2 linked regions of the Cricetulus griseus genome follow. The protein of the gene in region 2 binds, or shares a complex with, the protein of the main gene of each other region. Links are inferred from orthologs where the notes say so. Each region holds a gene or a part of one and is shown on either strand. Other genes may lie near its edges.

Evidence for each region. The genes of interacting proteins can lie anywhere in the genome.
Region 1: the proteins of Zmynd8 (region 2) and Dbn1 are in contact, whole or in part, in a crystal structure (PDB 5Y1Z), measured with the Homo sapiens proteins. The link is inferred for Cricetulus griseus from reciprocal best matches to the Homo sapiens genes ZMYND8 and DBN1. Residues at the interface, in NP_001350670.1 of Homo sapiens: Gln167, Pro168, Gly169, Thr170, Gln236, Ile237, Val240, Lys243, Ile244, His247, Trp269, Leu285, Gly287, Phe288, Phe307, Gly309, Gln310, His311, Asp312, Ala314, Thr335, Lys336, Ser337, Ile338; in NP_004386.3 of Homo sapiens: Met1, Ala2, Phe6, Ser7, Arg10, Leu11, Leu14, Tyr17, Glu18, Asp92, Ala93, Cys96, Ala97, Ala99, Ser100, Lys104, Glu107, Phe108, Gln110.

What each region holds. Positions count from the first base shown.
Region 1 is NC_048596.1:274,472,990-274,477,086, reverse strand, and holds the start of Dbn1 (drebrin), read left to right. Parts: upstream 1-1,245; 5' UTR 1,246-1,390; coding exon 1,391-1,476; intron 1,477-4,097. UniProt on the Homo sapiens protein: Actin cytoskeleton-organizing protein that plays a role in the formation of cell projections. Required for actin polymerization at immunological synapses (IS) and for the recruitment of the chemokine receptor CXCR4 to IS.
Region 2 is NC_048599.1:13,617,652-13,621,257, reverse strand, and holds part of Zmynd8 (protein kinase C-binding protein 1), read right to left. Parts: intron 1,912-3,606; coding exon 1,831-1,911; intron 334-1,830; coding exon 255-333; intron 1-254. UniProt on the Homo sapiens protein: Chromatin reader that recognizes dual histone modifications such as histone H3.1 dimethylated at 'Lys-36' and histone H4 acetylated at 'Lys-16' (H3.1K36me2-H4K16ac) and histone H3 methylated at 'Lys-4' and histone H4 acetylated at 'Lys-14' (H3K4me1-H3K14ac).

The DNA.
Region 1 (4,097 bases), on a different chromosome or scaffold from region 2:
TGTGTGTGTGTGTGTGTGTGTGTGTGTGTGGTGGGCACCCAGAGCTCCTGAGGCAGGGCCTGTGAAATGTGGGATCTTAAAGCCTCCCCCCTTCATCCCAGTCCAAAGCATTGCGGTGAGCGTACACACTGGCTTCGTGGCTAGATGACTGACCAAATCAGAGCAGGAGACTACTCACTGAAACCACCTCCTCTTCACAGATTAGCCCCAGTAGAGCTTGGCCAGGCTCTGGGTTCTGGCCCCTCCCTGGGGAAAGGGTTGATGGTGATGGACAGGTCTTCTGGAGCTGCGGGCTGCGGGGGGGGGGGGGGGGGCTCCAGCGTCCTCCATTCCACAGGAGAGAGTGCCGGGAGGCCTTTCTGTGCCTCCACTTACCCATAGGAGACTCTGTGAGGCCCAGGCCTTTCTGCGCTCAGAGCTTTGGGAAATAACAGACGCCAGAAAGTTCACCCTGGAGTGTCTTTGGAGGTTCTCTGCCTTGGAGACCCTACTTGGAGTTCCTTAGGAGGTACGGTGTTTGGAAAAGAAGAATGATTTCCTAGACACCCATCCAGGAGGAAGAAAATGACTGGGATGGCCAGGTGATGAGCTGGGTGGGGTAGAGTGGCTGAGACAAGGTCATAGGGCAGGGATGGAGGGAGGGGTATGGTCAGGGAGAGGGGTCTGAGCGGGATTCAGACAGGCTGGCATAGCTAGAGGGGGTGTGCTGTGTTAGCTGGGACAGGACTGCTTTTGGCCCTGGGAGTGACGACGGTAGACCAGGAGGGGTCCTCACGGAGGAAATGGGCTATTGACAACCCAGGCTTGGCTTGATGGGGAACTAAATTGGAGCAGGGACAGGGTAAGGACCAGAATGGGTTTAATGTAGGGTGGGATGGACCTGGGAATGAGGTGAGGTTCGGCTGGAGTGAAATCAATCAAGGGGCTCAATGGACCAGTTATTCTGGGGAGGCAGAGAGGGGTGAACTTGGGCCTGGAATCTTGGTGGGTTTAGAATTTAGGGAGAGGGTGTCTACTAGGTTGGGGACTAGGACAAGGCAGGTTCATGGGACTGGCCCTGGGAGCAGAGTGGGAGCTTAAGGTCCGGGTACAGGTCAGCGGGGCAAGGGGCATGGGGGCGCCCCGGGGCAAGCTGGGAAGGGGGGGTGGACCTCCCCCTGGGCCGGGCCTGGGCGGCGCTAGGACCGAGCGAGCGAGCCGAGGGAGTGAGCCGGGCGGAGCCAGCGCCCCCCGCCCCCGCCGGCCGGCTCCCCTCCCCCGGCCGCTGGCTCGTTCGCTCTCAGCGCTGCAGAGGCTCTGAGGCGGCCGCGGCGACTCCCTCATCCCCTCCCTCCGGTGTCGGTCGGTCCGTCCGTGCGTCTGTCCGTTCGGTCTCGGTCCGGCCCGCAGCATGGCCGGCGTGAGCTTCAGCGGCCACCGCCTGGAGCTGCTGGCGGCGTACGAGGAGGTGATCCGGGAGGAAAGCGCGGCCGACTGGTGAGCCCCCGCCCCCGCCCCGCCCCCGGCCCTTTGTCCCCAGGCCGCCACCGCGCCTTTGTTTCTCGGAGGCTCTGCCACCGGGAAGGGAGGGGGATCTCCCGAAATGGTGCAACGGCCCGGGAGAGCCGGGGAGGGGCTGCCTTTGTGCGAGCCGGGGGAGGGGCCGGTCGGGCCAGGCGGGGCGCGCGAGCCGGGGAGCCCCGAGGCCGCCCTGGGCGCACTGGGGGCGCGGGAGCCGGACGCCTGCCACGCGGATGTGGAGCTCAAAGGTGGGGCCCGGGGTCCTACGGCCCCGCCGGAGCCCATCCCCTCCCCCCCAGCCTCCCTCCACGGGCCCGGGGGACAGGTGTGCACGGGCCAGCCAAGGGCACCTTCGCCACCTTCGAGCGGGCGAGGACCGGGTGGGGACGGGGCGGGGACCGAGCTAGCGGAGCTGGAGCAGCCTGGCCGGCCACAGCACAAAGGAAAGCTAGGGCGGGGGAGGAGCGCAGAGGGCCGGGGGCCAGCGTGCCCCGCCCACCAGGGGCTTCTCAGGGTTGTCTCCCCCCACATCTAGGTTAGGGTGTGATAGAAAGGGGCGCACGGCCACATGGCAACCACGAAGTGACTCCTTTATCCCTCCCGGATCGCAGAGGAAGAGAGGTAGGGCTGAGCCCTTCTCTCCCCTTCTGAAGGAGGAGATCGTTAGGGACTAGGCAGCTAGGCAGGAAGAGACCCAGGACATGGACCCAGGCAGCTTGTCTAGAAGGCCAGCTAGGAGGAAGCATGGTGGGAGCCCCCGCTGAGGGATACCACGATGAGTAGATCTCTGGGACCCTAGCCTCTTCACTCTACCAGGGGCTGTCAGCCTCTTATTAGGGTGGTATGAGTGGACCTGCGTCTCTCCCCCTCCCCAGCTGTTATCCTCCCTGAGGTGGAGGAGGGTTTAAACCACCTGCTCAGCGGCTGAAGCCCCAGGGTGTCAGGCAAACCAAGGGGTTTGATGCCCCATTCTGAACACAGCCCCCAAGTGTTCTTCTTAGGGAGCAAATCTCCATTTTGCATTTAGGTCTCTTCACCTCATCAGACAGAAAGTAGGCTCCTCTTGAGTTGGGGCTGGTCTGAGGACCCCAGTTGGGCTGGCCACACTCTGGGAGGGCAGCCAGGTAGGGGGCCTGGAGGAGGGAACAAAATAGCCAGGCCTCCATGCCATGGTACTGCAGCACTGGCGGGCAGCCAGGCCCAGAGGGATGGACTCAGGAGACAAGTTCTTGTGTCTTGCAGGTCAGTTATAGGAGAGGCTGAACAGGCCAAGCAGGCAATCCCCACATTGTTGTCCCAGCCCTGTCCCTGGGGGGCTGAGATCATGGGAGGCAATCTGGGCAAGTGGCCTGCTTGGACTGGTGGAAGAGCTGGTTTGGGGATATGGCCCTGCCTGAGGAGAAACACTGACTGGAACCCTGCCTTCCTCCCCAGTCTAGGGGGGGTGTAGGCAGCACCCCAAATCTCTTAACCCCTCAGAAGCAGACACTGGCAGTACAATGCTGGGCCTATCCAACTCCTGCTGCCCCGCATCCTGCTCAGCAGAGGCCGGGGCTTTCACCACCAGCAACATCCATGTGGCCAAAGGGAGTTAGTTATGCATCCTTGGCATGCGTCAGCCCCATCTGGGTGGTGTGTGGGACACACACACACAGCTGCACATATACACCCCTGGAATGCATATATGTTTGCTTCCTCCCAAGGGCCTAACAGCATGTTGTGAACAGGGTGTGAAGATCACATTTTACAGAAGATGGCATGATCCTTCCCAGCTCTTATCACACAGCCAGGAACTGAGTGAGGTCCCAAGGTTCAGTGCAGGCCCTGCAGGAGGAGGTCCTGGGTCCAAATGTTGGGGCATGAGTATTTGGTGTCTGTCTTTGAATGTGGGTGTGGTGGAGCTTAGGGAAGCTGAGCCCTAGGTGGCAGGGTCTCTTCAGAGGACCACTGCCTTGCGCTGGAAGCAGAACACTGGGGAAGTCAGATTGTGCATTTGGAAAGGCCAGCAGCACCCTGGTTACGATATGATTCATTGTGTGAGAAGTTCCTGCTCTTCTGAAGCTTCTGAGAGAAGAGGGGGCTGGGCACAGCCCCTGCAGGGTTTCCAGGGCCTTTCCAGCTCTAGCTCCCTGACAGTATGCTGGTCCTCAGCCTTCCACTCCTAGCAGGCCTGGAGCTGCTGAAGTCCCACTCTCACCTTGCCCTAGTCTCGTGCCTGTGGCTTAGATGGTTGATAAGAGTTTGTGCCAACATTACAAATCCCTACAGTGGTGCTACTTTGAGCTGGACCCAGGACGGAGACAGCAGTTGGTATTAGCAGAGTCAGAGTTTTGCCTTCACAGAACTGACATGACAGTCTGTGGCAGTCACTGTCTCCAGGGTTTAATGCTACCGAGGGGAGCACATCTACAGTCCCCTCATCCACGTTTACTTTTTTGCTTGCCTCCCAGTTCCCACCAGCCGGTCACCAGGTGCTTGTGGTATGGTAGAGAGACGTTGTCCAGCAGGGTCTGGGGCTAGAACAGATGTCTGTGTTAGCGTCATGGGGCGTGAAACTCAGGCTGAGGCTGCCCACGGAGCTGGCAGTGTCACCCTCA
Region 2 (3,606 bases):
CATCCTGCATAAGTTCTTCTTGGCAAGACCAGTAAAGGGCCACCAAGGTGGCTCAGATGGCAAAGGTACTGTGGCCAAGACTGACATCCTGAGTTCAATCCCCAGAACCCACGTGAAGGTGGCAGGAGAAAAGAGAATGTGTTATCGTGAGAGGGAAGGTCTGCACTTGCACCCTCAGATCCCTGAGGACTGTGCTCTCCCCGACTCCAGGTGACTCCAGAGCAGCCAGAAGCTCACACCCACGGGGGACTCACCCAAGTTGTGTTTCATCTCAGCAAGCTCCTGCTGGTGTAGCCACTGCAGCTTCTCAATCTCAATCCTCAGCCTTCGAATCTGCAGAGAGGACAAAGGAGCCTGAGATGCCACCATGGCAGCTGGTCCCCTTGTGTCTGTCCCCAAGCTCTGCGTGACAGCCTGCCTCTGAGCCTATAGTCCCACAGCTCAGGTGGTGGATTATGTGGTGGGAGGAAAGAGATCACATTCATACAAACACACACACACAGTAAGTGTGTAAGGACTACATAAGAGGAACCTAGGGCTACACACACACACACACACACACACACACACACACACACACAAAGTACCCTAGTTCTGAAAGCCAAGCCAAGTGAGCCATTCTCCCCACAACCTACATAGGAGGCCCCAGAGCCAAGGGCCACCTGTGCCACATGCCTGAGCAACTGAGTGAGCAGCCACACGTCAATGCAGGAGTATGGCAGGGTTGGGGGACTGGAGGGTCGTGGTCATCCTAGCATAGGCTAGACCCAAGGTTTCAGGGGACACACGTGAACCAGAACTGCAACCACACACAAATGCTTAAAATGAACAAAAAGGGCTGAGTGTGGTGGTGCAGCCTATAATCCCAGCTCTCAGGAGGCAGACGCAAGGTTCCTTGAGCTCGGTGAGTTCGAGGCCAGCCAGGGATGCATCATGAATTCCTATCTCCCTGACCCCACTCTCACCCCCTGCCAAAAGAAAAAGTTCACTGGGGACAGAGAGATTTCTACTTGTTGATTGACACTGTCAGTGTCATACTTGACATACACAGAGTATCAGACTTAAAAATGCCAGGTACACCCTCTGCCCGCCATGCACATGCTTTTTTTTTTAAATCTCCATTGATTTCGTCAGGGCCTCTCATGAGCCCTGTCCTGTCTGTTGCCTCAAAGGCCAATGTTTCTGCTTGGGCTTCATTCCCAGCCTGCAGTACCATCTCCAGTGGCCTCAAGTAACCCTGTTCCCTGTGTGTCACCTGATGGCTGAATACAGGCCACCAAGCCACCGCCAGCACCATGCTGTCCACACAGGTATTAGCAGGTGGTCACTGAGTGACCTCCGAGGGAAACTCAGGGATAAACTTCTGTGTGTGTTTGTCTTTGAATGCGAGGATGCTTCATTATTTAACTATAAGAGGTGACTTTGTAAGTAAATAGTTTGGCAGTTTAACCACTGTCTGTCTTTGTTCACAGAGCTATGGTACCTCTGATTCTTACCTAAGTACTTTAGTCAGACTGGGTGGTGGCACACACCTTTAATCCCAGTGCTCAGAAGGCAGAGGCAGGAGGATCTCTGTGTCTGTGAGTTTGAGGCCAGCCTGGTCTATAGAGTGAGTTTCTAGGACAACCAGAGCTGTTACACAGAGAAATCCTGCTGGGGGTGGGAGGAGATGCACCAAGCACACACAAACCAAAGCTGGTGTCCAACTCTCACTGTGATCTAACAGGATGTAGGCAGGAAGCAGGACGAGTCTCCCTAGCCACCTGCTTAACCCAGCTTCCCAAGGCCTTCTAAGCCTGAACTGCTGGGGGATCGCCAGTTGCTACTGACCTCAGCTATTGTGCTCCCCGTGGTGTTTTTGGAGAGGTCATTGTAGATTTCCGTCATCGTCCCTTTAATGGCATCCATCATCTGAAAATATAAAAACAGAAGTCTTGCATGAATGGGGGGGGGCGCTCTGCAGCTTTCAGAGGTGATGGGGATGCAAACTCCCAGGCCCTGTTTGCTTCAGGCTGTCGAGATGCCTGGCAGAACAGGGTGGGGCTGCATCCAGCACCCCAGGGGTAGAAGCCAAGGAGGCTACTAAATGACCTACAGTTTACAGGACAGCCCCTTGCTGAGCTGAGAAACTGAAAGTCAGGGCCACCTAGAATCCCTTTTAGAGGTCAAACTCCACTCCCAGGTGTGTCGTGTTGAGCCCACACAAAAGGTTTAAGGAAGAGACTTATTTTGTTGCTTTAAGTTTTTTCTTAAAATTAAAATAAAAATTATAATCTTTTCTTTTTTAAAGGTTGGGTCCTCATGCATCCATCTGGTCTACCTCATTAAGTAGCTGATGACTCTGAGTTTCTGAAGCCCCTGACCGCACCCGGTTTTTAAATTCAGTGGTAGTCTGGTTGTTCATGCTAGACAAGCACTCTACCAACTATGCCACAACTCCAGCACACCAACATAATTTCTTTTGTGTTGAGTGAGTGTGAGTATGCGCCTACGTGCGCTTGCGCGTGCGCGTGCGTGCGTGTGCGTGTGCGTGTGTGTGTGTGTGTGTGTGTGTGTACTCGTGCACACAAGCGCAGGTATGCATGTGTCTCAGAGCATGAGTGGAGGGGTGAGGACAACTTTATGGTGTCAATTCTGTCCTCCCACATTTACTTGAGGGATCAAAGTCAAGTCACCATTACCCACTGAGCCATCCTGCTGACCCCAAAGCGCATTTTAATGAGATGTAATTAATACACTATCCACGTGACGTGCAATGCACAATCTGCAGGACCTGAGGTGCTACACTTCAGTGGCTGTGCGCCAACTCAAATACACACTTCAGTGGCTTTGCTTGTCTGGAGCTACACATCCAACAGCACAAGCAATTCTAGAACATTTTCAACACACACACACACCCAAGAAGACAACCCTACTCTTCCCTCAGTCTTCACTACCTTAGGAAACACCACAACCAAACTAACTTGGGGAGGAAAGGGTTTATTCTGTTACACTTCCACAGCACAGTTCATCATCAAAGGAAGTCAGGACAGGAACACAAACAGGGCAGGACGCTGGAGCCAGGGGCTGATGCAGAGACCAAGGAGGAGCACTGCTTATTGGCTTGCTCAGCCTGCTTTCTTACAGAACCCAGGACCACCAGCCCAGGGGTGGCCCCACCCACATATGGTGGGCAGTTCCACATCAATCAGTAAGAAAATACCCTTCAGGCTTGCATACAGCCCAATGTTACCAAGACACTTTCTCAATTGAGGTTCACTTTTCTTGCATGACTATAGCTTGTGCCAAGTTGACTTAAAACTAGCCAGCCCAACTCCCAACACCCCCATTACCCTCGTCTTCACCCAGGTCCCTGGGAACCACTTATCCACTTTCTGTTTCTATGGATTTGTATGACCTGGACCCAGCATAGAAATGTCAATCACCCCACACCAAGGCCTTAGGACTACGGTCTAGGAAGACTCCTTAAGTCTACAAAATGTACCATAGAGCGCACCTTGCCTTTTCCTGGTCCATCAAGTGGACATGGTTGGCTTGTCACTGCAATGCCTTCTAGGTTCCATGAAGCAGTCAAACTCAGATAGATACATACCAATTACTGTATTT